Caenorhabditis elegans: one gene and its partners. The protein of the gene in region 2 interacts with the protein of the main gene of each other region in a pairwise test. Each region holds a gene or a part of one and is shown on either strand. Other genes may lie near its edges. The genes, in order: idpb-2, Y39B6A.1 and phat-1.

Region 1 (3,151 bases), on a different chromosome or scaffold from region 2:
GCTATTCTATATATGAATATTAATCTAATTTTCCTGACAGTTCTAAGATATTGTATATCCCCTATTAGTATTGTATGTAATACTTTTTCCATCGATTACTCTGAGTTTAGCTCTTGTAAATATTTCAATTTAATAAGATATATTATATTTAAATATTAGACTCACAAACATTTATTGAAATTGAAAACTTTCAACAAAAGACTACAAACTTACAGTAATCCCAATAGTCAATTGTTTTACACATATTTTATCAGTGTATGTTCATGAAAAATATATTGAAGGTCTACACAAAAGCTCAACGGTCATCTGTCAGGTTTCCAACATACGATGGATTGCTCCCCGCTGGCGGAACAGTAAGCGGAAGCTTATCTCTCTTTCTCCTGTTCTATCATTTTTTGGTATATTCTTCTGTTAGCAATTACTTTGAGAACCTTTTTTTCAATTGTATCTATCATGTTCTTTTCCTGAACACCATCAGTTCCTTCATATTTCAGTACATTTGCGATGAATGCAACAGCGACGAGCGGACCCCATTTCAGCTTTGTGAGCACAAGGCAATTTATCACAGGTTTGCCTATTTTTGAAGAATTTAATTTGTTAGCTATAACTTTTGTGTTTATAAATGTATACTCTGGCGTTTCAGTCCCCAAGACCAGAGGGTTTGGAAATGTGTGTACTGTCACACACAATTTGGAAGGCGAGGTGGACTTCGGAGGCATGTTCAGATGGTTCATATGCAGATGATGCATAAATGTCCCGTAGAGAATTGCACTCATCCAGGATACAAGTGCACAAAGGTGGTCATTTCAATCTTTTTATTGAAGGCAGGACCACGCGCTCGAATTTAAAATTTAAAAAAATTAGATTTATGGAGTACTGTAGTCCACATTTCTTCATTGTTGTTTCAATGTTTTCCGTTCGTTTACATAGGAGCTACAGTACTCCGTCATCCATCGGACGTGTCGAGACGAGATTTTGTATCAGTGGTAAAAACCTTTCAAAAAACGTAGCAAGATTCAAAGGAACCTTTGAACTCTTTTAACTTGAAGATGCAGCTCTAGATTGCCACTAGATTACCAAACGTTATAAATGTTTGAGAATTATTGGTTTCATTAATATTGATTTTTCAAGCCAAAAACACCCTTCAAGTCTATTCAAGTCTATGCTCTTTCAGGCTCTGAATGCTCATGTCAGAACTCATACTCGACCATATGCCTGCCATCGGTGTGATGCTAGCTTTGCACGAAAAAACGATCTACAGAGTCATCTATCAACTCATCAAGCTACTCCAGTCATTCATTAATTTATTATATTATCTCAATTTTCCGTTTCTCTATCTATCTTATTACGATTACCTCTTCTTTTTTTCTGTGATTGTACCATAAACCTCAAAGTCCAACGCGATTTCTCGAGGGTATACGGAAGGGTTGAGTTTTGCTTCCGGAAAAGTGTCAAATGCACTACGCACCGCGCAACCGCAGGCATACTTACGTAAATATTTGAGTGATATAAAAGAAAGCATGAATGGTTCAATGATACACTCGAACTTAACATGAACAAGCTCGTCTGCTCCACCTTCGCCATTCTGGCAATAATCGCAATTTCTCAGGTATCAACGTTTCAGGGGACTTGTGTAGAATTCGAAGATCCTTGCAGGTTCAATCAGCAGTACTACCAGTGTCCTCAAAAGAAGTAGCATTAATAACATCATCTGCTTCAACCACTTCATCATCTGAAACATCAATTGATACATTAGGATCATCCAGAGTTAAAAGACAAGGAGGATGTGGTTGCTGTGGATGCGGATGCGGATGCTGCGGATGTGGTGGAGGAGGTGGAGGAGGATGCGGATGTTGCTGTTGTAGACCAAAGTAAGTTCAGAATTCGACACTTCTACTTTTTTAATTGATAATTCCAGAAATGTTACATTCACTATTTGAAAGATCTTTAATCCTTTAAATCTCAAAGTTTTAAACTTTGTCGTTACGTTTTCAGACTCGTCTGCATCTTCAGCATTTTCAGAATGATGTAGCAAATTTTAGTTCAAATTTTAGTGTAGCAACATCTTTCTTAAAAGAACAGTATCTTTTAGGCACATCTGCCGTTGTAATTTAAAATTTAAAATTTTCAGATGCTGCTGCTGTTGCCGCCGTTGCTGTACATGTTGCCGTACTTGCTGTTGTACAAGATGTTGTACTTGCTGCCGTCCATGTTGTTGTGGATGTGGATGTGGATGTGGATGTTGTGGATGCGGAGGTGGAGGACGTAAACGTCGTTCTCTTCAGAATCTCCGTATTGCTTTGGCTAACAAAATCGAAGGAATCGCCAAAGTCGTGAAGGGATCCGCTGTAGAAGCTTCAGTTATGAACGCATTGGCTCCTGTCAATGATGCTACGGTTGAAGAGAAGAAAGACGTGATCAACTGAGCGATGCGTTTGTTAAACTAATTTAATTAATTTAATTTGAATTCTGTGATTCTCACTTCAGAGAAATAAATAGTTGATTCTCTCTTGATTAACGCAAATACCAAAAAAATGTTATATACATAGAATTAGATAAAAAACGAGTAGAGACAAAGTTCAACAACGTTGTTGTCCATACAAAGCCTTGGAATTTACCGGCCCCCAAAGTATGCCTGGTTTGAGAAACGCTGAAAAATCCTCAGAATTAGATCAGAAAACTCATCAGAAATTGTTGCTTGTAGTAGTGAAATTTTCTTGATTGATCTGAGAAGCTTAAACTTGTTACTAACTTTTCAATAACTCGTCTCATTCTAGAGAACCTGAAAGTAACCGGGAGCTTGTGTGGTAAAATTATTCTACATTGGAAGAAATGGCATATTTCCCTTTTCCCCTATTTTACATTAGGTTTCTATTTTCAATTTCGGTTCAAGAATCATCAATTTTTAATTCCTAGTCCCATTTAGAAATAATGTCGCAACACTCATTCTTCATTCCCAGAGTCTCGCCCATTTCTTTCCCATTGAAACACTAGCTTCTGGTTACCATGACAACTCCATCCTTGTGCTCCAGTAAAAACTGCTCTGTCTCCTCCTTCTCTTTATGCTCACTGCTCCCCCTCCCCACATATATACACCCTAACACGCAACATAATCGCATGTGTGGCCACCATCTAATCCTCCAACGAAAAG
Region 2 (3,757 bases):
GTGCTGGAGCATGGTGGTGCTCTCCATGATGTCCGTGGTGGGTCCCATGTTCCCCGTGGTGTCCGTGGTGTGCTGGAGCATGGTGGTGCTCCCCATGATGTCCGTGGTGAGCTGGGGAGTGATGGGATCCGTGGTGTCCGTGGTGGGTCCCATGTTCCCCGTGGTGTCCATGGTGTGCTGGAGCATGGTGGTGCTCTCCATGATGTCCGTGATGAGCTGGAGCATGGTGGTGCTCCCCATGATGTCCGTGGTGGGCTGGGGAGTGATGTCCGTGTCCATGGGATTCGTGGTGTCCATGATGAGCTGGAGCATGGTGGTGCTCTCCATGGTGTCCGTGGTGGGTCCCATGTTCCCCGTGATGAGCTGGGGAGTGGTGGGTCCCATGGTGCTCTCCATGATGTCTGTGGTGGACTCCGTGCTCGTCGTGATGAGCTGCGTGCTCATGGTGCTCTCCTTCCTTGTGCTCGTGATGAGCTCCATCCTTGTGCTCGTGGTGCTCATGATGGGCTGGAGCGTGCTTCTTCTCGTCCTCAGATTCTGAGGAAGATGAGGAGCTGGAGCTGGAGCTGGAGGAAGAGCTAGAGCTAGAAGAGCTCGCGGCCTTCTTGTGATGCTTCTTTCCGTGGCTCTTCTTGTGATGCACCTTCTTCTTCTTCTTCTCGTCTTCAGATTCCGAGGAAGAAGACGATGAAGAAGAACTGGAAGAGGAAGAGGAGCTGCTGGAAGAGCTGGAGCTGGAAGCGGCCTTCTTGTGATGCTTCACGTGCTTCTTGGCGGCGTGCTTCTTGTGATGGTGCTTCTCATCCTCGGATGAGGAAGAGGAGCTGGAGGAGCTCGAGCTCGAGCTGCTGGACGAGCTAGACTCGGCCTTCTTGTGATGCTTCTTCACGGCATGCTTCTTGTGGTGATGCTTCTCGTCTTCGGACTCCGACGACGAAGAAGACGAGCTGGAGGAGCTGGAGCTAGAGGAGCTTGACGATGAGCTGCTGGAAGAGCTCTCAGCCTTCTTGTGATGCTTCTTCAGATGCTTCTTGGCATGCTTCTTATGGTGATGCTTCTCGTCTTCGGACTCAGATGAGGAGCTGGAAGAGGAGCTTGAGCTGGAGCTCGAGGAGCTGGATGAGCTGGAAGAGCTAGACTCGGCCTTCTTGTGATGCTTCTTAAGATGCTTCTTGGCGTGCTTCTTGTGGTGGTGCTTCTCGTCCTCGGATTCAGACGAAGAGGAAGAGGATGAGGATGAGCTGGAGGAGCTGGAGCTCGAGCTGCTGCTGGAGGAGGAGCTGGAGCTGCTCGAGTCCTGAGCCTTCACATGGTGATGGTGGTGGTGGACCTCGTGGTGGCCTGGATGGGCTCCGTGAGCATGATGGGTATGGTGACCGTGGTGTGGGGAGATGAAGCTCAGGAATCCTGAAATATTCCTGTTTATTAAGAGATTCCAAAGCTCCGGACCAACCTTTCAATGAGATGTGTCCATCATGAGCATGATGATCAAAGACCTTCTGGAAGTGGAGCTCCTTGGCCAGGTGCTCAATATCGTGGAGCGCCGAGCGAGCTTCATCCCGAGTGAGCTTATGCCCGTGCGAGGAGTGCTTCGAGAAGAGCTTCTCTGAAAATTATCATGATCTTTGACTACCGTAGGTGATACTAAGAAACTACAACTGATAACATGTCAGTTGTGTTGTGTTGGCAAACATTTCCGAAATTTTCTAATTTTTTCGGTAATTTCACTGATAAGAATGATCTTTGGCAGGAAGCGCCGAAAACTCACTGATCTTGTGAAGCGACACGTGGTGGGTGTGATGATGATGGTGCACCGTCATTGTTTAGGTTCTGGAATTTTCAGAATTTTCAGAATTTTACTCGAAATTCAAAGTTAAGAGGGATTTTAGAAGTAAAATCGAGAAAAAGCCCCGAAAATTTTGATAATCACCGTCCTCCTCCGCCCCATTTTATAAGCTTTTTTTAGGCTCCGCCTCCCTTAAGTTTGACTCCGCCCATTTTGACACGGGAGGCAATTAAAAGTTTTGATGATGTTTGGAGAAGTGAGAGATCGAGATAAGACACCCGGAGAAGGAGAAACGTGAAAATTTGGGACGATGATTGTCAGAGTGATGTAATATTTGGGGAGGTAATAGGAGAGGTGATGAAGTCTGACAGCTGTTGAGCATCAGCATTTGATTAATTTTCAAAATTTTCAAATTTTCAGCTGATTGTATTATAGTAGTTCACTGAAGGGTTTTGTGTGAGAAGTTGGAGGTTTTTGTGATTTTTCGGGTCTCGGTAGGTTCTAGCATACCGAAAAAGAGCCTGACCTTTGGACACTGACCTTTTCTGGAACGTTTAACTGCTTCCAATAAGCTTCAAGTGGCTCCGAGCAGCCTGATTGCTAAAATTTTCTAATTGTTTCAGTTAGATCATAGACATTTCTAGCGGCTTCCAACTAGTCCTAGACCCTTCCAAGTACTTCTAGAAGCTACCAGCCTGACCTAGGAGTTCAAAGCCTGGCCTAGGCGCCCAGCAAGCTTTCTGAAGGCTTCAATTTGCTTTTAGTAAGCCTTGTGATCGTCTAGCAGATCTAAAGTGCCTTCACGAGCTCTTAGTGATTCCGAAAAGCCCGACTGCTGAAATCTTCCAATTGCCTCCAACAGCTCATAAATGTCTCTAGAAGCTTCCAGCCTGACCTAGGAGTTCAAGCAAGCTTTCTAAAGGATTTAATTTGCTTCTACTGAGCCCTGTACTATTCTAATAGGCCTCAAGTCCTTTGTGAGTTCCCAGTGGCTCCTAGCAGATTTTAGCAGCTCCGACGAGCACGGCTTCTAGCAGCTCCCTATTGGTCCGATAAGCTTCTATGGGCCTCTAGAAGCTCCCAACTGGCTTTAGCTGCCCTCAAGAGCTCTGAGCAGCACTGGGTTGCTTCAAGGTGTTAGATTCCTGGTTTTCCAGATTTTAACCAAATTCAGCAGCTCTGATTGGGCTTTCGGAGCTTTCAGCACCCGCCGACCTTTCCCAACTGCCCCTAAAAACTCCAAACTGTGTTTTCTGAAGAGCCACACCCAAAACTGCTATTTTATGAGCCTGTGGCATTTCCAAAGATGATGGCAAACTTTTAATGGTGCTCTTAACACCTTTTTTTTGTTGGAAATTCGAAATACTAGTTTTCTAGTTTTCCAAATATCATGTGATCATTCAATCTTGCAATGGTGGTTATAATTCATTATTTGCACCAACAATTAATACTCCTTATCTCTATAATGTTCTTAATTTGCTGCAATTGAACTGGTTTTTGAAGTACCAACTACACTTTTTGAAGGTTTCCGGTGGAAAATTCAGGAGTTTGAGCAATTTTGTCAGAAATTTCCGTTTCCTGACAATCTTCTGGCTTCAAAATTCGAGTTTTTGACTTTTTCTCAAAAAAAACCGGGAAAATTAGGAGAAAAAGCTTCAAATCTGGATAGTTTTTCCGGAAAAACATCGAAAATCGATGTTTCCTCAATTTTCCTGAAACTTTGATATTTTTTGGGCCTTTGACTTGAAATTTCAAGCATTTCACAGCATACTGTCGTGGAATTCATACAGGCAGCCTAATTTTTAAGATCCTTGACTTTTTTCCAGTTCCTGTACATTTTCAGCATTCGGGAGCAATTTCCGCCCCACGTTCCGAAACCAAAAACCGCAAAACTATTCGAAAAATGTGCCATCAGCAGGTTTTTCTCTCTCCATAATTGATTATCGGTCATTCTGCCGCTGCCACTCGTTT
Region 3 (3,757 bases), on a different chromosome or scaffold from region 2:
TCCAAAAAAGTTTTAATTATTAATTCAATGAAACAAAATAAAAATTGGATATGTTTTCAGAATGTTTGAAAATGAAAAAATAAATATTTTATTACATTTAAAACATTGAGATGTTTTGTTTTGAAATCGAACTTTCTCAAAATCTAAATTATTTAAATTATTTTATTTACTTTAGAATCATAAATCACAAAAACCAGACGGTGCATAAATTAGAGATAAATTATTTCCACAAACACAAAAATTATCCAGCAGTACAGAATCCGCAGGTAAGTGGACATTGGGTACGCATAAGGGAAATGTAAGCGGAGTTGGTACAAAAAGCACGACGATTTGGACAATCGGAAGTTCCTGTAGCGGCGTTGACTTGGTCGACACAAGTGGCTGAAGAGGTTTAAGTATCTTAGTTGTCGTATCACAAACAGTAGAATCAATCAGCTATAATTCTTCAGAAATAAAACTTACATGAAACAGTAGTAGAAGCTGATGACGTGGCAGAGATAGTTGAGCTTGATGTGCATCTTCCACAAGTTCTTGGGCATTGGGTGGTCATGATGTCATAGTAGACTGAGTTGTTGCAAAGAGAAGCACGAGCTGGGCAATCGGAAACTCCAGTTGTTGGATTGACACGATCAGCACAGGTGGCTGAAATTTCCTCAGTTAGTGCAAACGAAAATATAAGAAAAGCTAAGGCAAACAAAGCAAGCATATTAGACAGAAGCAGGTAAAAAAAGCTACAGCTGATCAGCGAAGCAAGAGGCAACTGCCACCTACTGGAATAGCTAGAAGTACTATTTGTGGAGCATCTTCCACAAGTTACCGGACACTGGACTGTCATAAGATTGTAATAAGCTGCGTTATTACAAAGTGCGGCACGAGCCGGACAATCAGATCTCCCGGTGGATGGGTTAGAACGATCGGCACATGTGGTGCCTGGAAATTTAAATTGTTGTCCTCTGTTTCAAGAAATCTAACTCTAATTAAAGAATCACGTTCCAGTTTTCAGCGAACTTACTGGACGATGAAGTAGTCGAAGAAGAAGTGGAGCATCTTCCGCAAGTTCTTGGGCATTGAGTGGTCATGAGTGTGTAGTAGTTGGAGTCGTTGCACAAAGCAGCACGAGCTGGACAATCGGAAACTCCGGTGGATGGATTAACACGATCAACACAGCTAGTAGAGCTTGTTGAAGTAGAATTACAGCGACCGCATGTTCTTGGGCACTGCTGGGTCATGACTGTGTAGTAGGTCGAGTCGTTGCAAAGGTAGGCAAGAGCTGAACAATCAGAGACTCCGGTAGATGGATTGACACGATCAGCACACGTTGTCGTGGAGGTAGAAGTTACTGTAACTGATGATGCAGTTGTGGTTACTGTAGATCCATCGGAATCGGTCACAACAGCAGCAGTGGTTGAAGTAACAGCGGCAGCAGCTAGAATTTCAAAGGTCGCTGTTGAAAGAATCTGTTTCACTTACTGGTAATAGGACAGCATTGACCAGCTGCCACGTCACAGACCTGTGTCTGGCACACAAGAATGCCACCGTCACACGCTGAAATAAAGTATTTATTCTAAATGCGATTACAGTTGTTACTTACGTCCTTCAGATTCAGAAGCTTCACAAGCAAATGCAACCGAGAATATGGCAAATGAAATAATGAATTGACGGAACATGATAGAATGATGGTTATAGTTCTGCAGCAGTTGCTTTTATATTGTGAGATACTGTCCATCTGTTCAAACAATTAACGTTGACCATTGTGCTATAAGTCTTTGAAATTGAAATAATGTGATCAAGAAGTTTAGATACCGTTCGTGATGGAAGTTTATGACGAAATAGCTAAAAAGTATCGCTTGTGGCAAATGTTTCAACAAAAGAGTGCTGAAATTATTAAATTTAAATTACATATATTTTGACGTAGAATGTGTATCTCGGGTCTGCAGTGATCGATTTTTTGCTGAAAATGCCGTCAAAATAATTATGCAAATAACGGCTATTATGACAGTTTTACAAGCTTGCAAAAACCCCAGAATACAACTTTAGATTGTAGGAGTTGAGCTTAACTTTTTGAGATAATCTAGTAGAAAAATTGGATTTTCAAAAAGAGTCTGTAAGTAACGTTTCTTTGTAAGTTTTTCAAGTAAAAGTTTTTTAAAGTTTTATTTCTTGTCTATCTGTTTTTATCGCAATATTCCATATTTTACAGTGGCTATCCACGAGCTAAAGGCTGTTCAAACATTTCAGCTCTGTTTCAAAAATAACAAAATTTTCGCAGAACAATGCGCGCATTGTTTTTATATTGGTACAACCAACCGGCGTTTCGGATACTATTTGAACACATTTCTTCCCGACTCGCAGCGTTTTATTATAAATTAAAATGAATTGGACACATTATTACACAATTATTACTAATCGTGATGGCGAAACAAATTATCCGGATGTACAGAATCCGCAGGTTCTTGGACATTGAGCACGCATGACGGATTGGTAGGCTGAGTTGTTGCAAAGACCAATGTTGGATGCACAATCAGATCTTCCGGTGGCTGGGTTGACTCTGTCGACACATGCTGGAAGATTTTCAAGATTGGTTTTAGAAAGTAACGAATGCTTGTGTTATTGTTGAAAATCTATGGCCGTACATTTTTTAGATAATACAGTAGATTGTTTTACCTTAGAATCGGATGTTTCAGATTTTTTTGGACAGTTGTTTTCTCTTTTTTTAAATAAACAAGTAGTTAGTTTCGTCTAAAGTTGGGGAAAGGTTGGCTGGTAGTTTTGAGTCATTAAAAACTCGGACTTTTTATTTGTGATATTTGGCCATGTTGCAATTAATATGAAAATATTTGTACAACTAAATTTTGCTTAAATTTAATACTAAATCAAGCTCCAACCGTTAAAATCAGTTTTAACACTTTTATAATTTTTCCCACTTACTTCCGGAAGAAACAGTTGCGCTGGATCTAGTGGTAGAAGATGAACCGGAACTTCCACAGAATCCACAAGTTCTTGGGCATTGAGTTCTCATCAGATCAATGTAGTTGGAATCATTACAGAAAGAACGCAGGCTTGCGCAGTCCGAAGTTCCCGTCTTTGGGTTCTTCAAGTCAGTGCATGTACCAGTTGTAGGTGTGCTAGAGAATGATGAGCATCTTCCGCAAGTCTTTGGACATTGTTGAGTCATGACGTCAAAGTAGTTGGCATCGTTGCAGAGAGCTCTTCTATTAGCACAATCAGAAGTTCCTGTAGCTGAATTGACACGATCAACGCATCCTGTTCCAGATGAAGTGCGGGAAGTGACAGTGGATCCACTACGGATAGTCGTGGCAACAGTCACAGTGGATCCCGAAGCGTCGGTGACAACGTTAGATGGAACCACAGTGGTGACTGAAAAGGGAAATTTAAAATTTACTGATTCCAGAGACTTACTGAGATCCGCATTGAGACAGCAACTTAAAAGAGTAAGATCACAAGTAGATCCAGTTTCACAAGGCAAACCAACATCGCATGCTGAAAAAATGTTTGGATTAAAGAATCGAATTTGAGCGCGAAAAAAGTGTTACTCGACCAATGACATTAAGGCGTGGTCAACGTCATTGATTGGTCAAAAGTTTCAAAAATCTAAAAATCTAAAATTGCGCCCTTCTGCTGGCTTTAATTTGAGAGTAAATTTCCCAGAAAAACTTTTGGAAGTGTTCAAATTTGAAGCCTGTGCGATAGTTTCTTTGTGAAGGGTCTTGAAGCGAGAGATGTCTCAACGAATAAT

What was found.
Region 1: the proteins of Y39B6A.1 (region 2) and idpb-2 interact in a two-hybrid assay, tested with the Caenorhabditis elegans proteins (one large-scale study listed by BioGRID).
Region 3: the proteins of Y39B6A.1 (region 2) and phat-1 interact in a two-hybrid assay, tested with the Caenorhabditis elegans proteins (one large-scale study listed by BioGRID).

The regions. Positions count from the first base shown.
Region 1 is NC_003280.10:5,068,010-5,071,160, reverse strand, and holds idpb-2 (Intrinsically Disordered Protein, class B), read left to right. Parts: upstream 1-1,535; 5' UTR 1,536-1,552; coding exon 1,553-1,609; exon of another isoform or gene 1,610-1,656; coding exon 1,657-1,871; intron 1,872-2,131; coding exon 2,132-2,426; 3' UTR 2,427-2,513; downstream 2,514-3,151. Other genes in the region: C27A2.7 (C2H2-type domain-containing protein), read left to right, coding at 282-353, 495-568, 644-797, 1,175-1,303.
Region 2 is NC_003283.11:19,201,778-19,205,534, forward strand, and holds the start of Y39B6A.1 (Histidine-rich glycoprotein-like), read right to left. Parts: upstream 1,831-3,757; 5' UTR 1,821-1,830; coding exon 1,769-1,820; intron 1,607-1,768; coding exon 1,454-1,606; intron 1,408-1,453; coding exon 1-1,407.
Region 3 is NC_003279.8:5,044,054-5,047,810, forward strand, and holds phat-1 (ShKT domain-containing protein), read right to left. Parts: upstream 1,668-3,757; coding exon 1,592-1,667; intron 1,546-1,591; coding exon 1,471-1,545; intron 1,427-1,470; coding exon 1,013-1,426; intron 831-1,012; exon of another isoform or gene 687-830; intron 643-686; coding exon 463-642; intron 382-462; coding exon 242-381; 3' UTR 145-241; downstream 1-144. Other genes in the region: phat-2 (ShKT domain-containing protein), read right to left, coding at 2,425-2,561, 2,929-3,378, 3,421-3,501.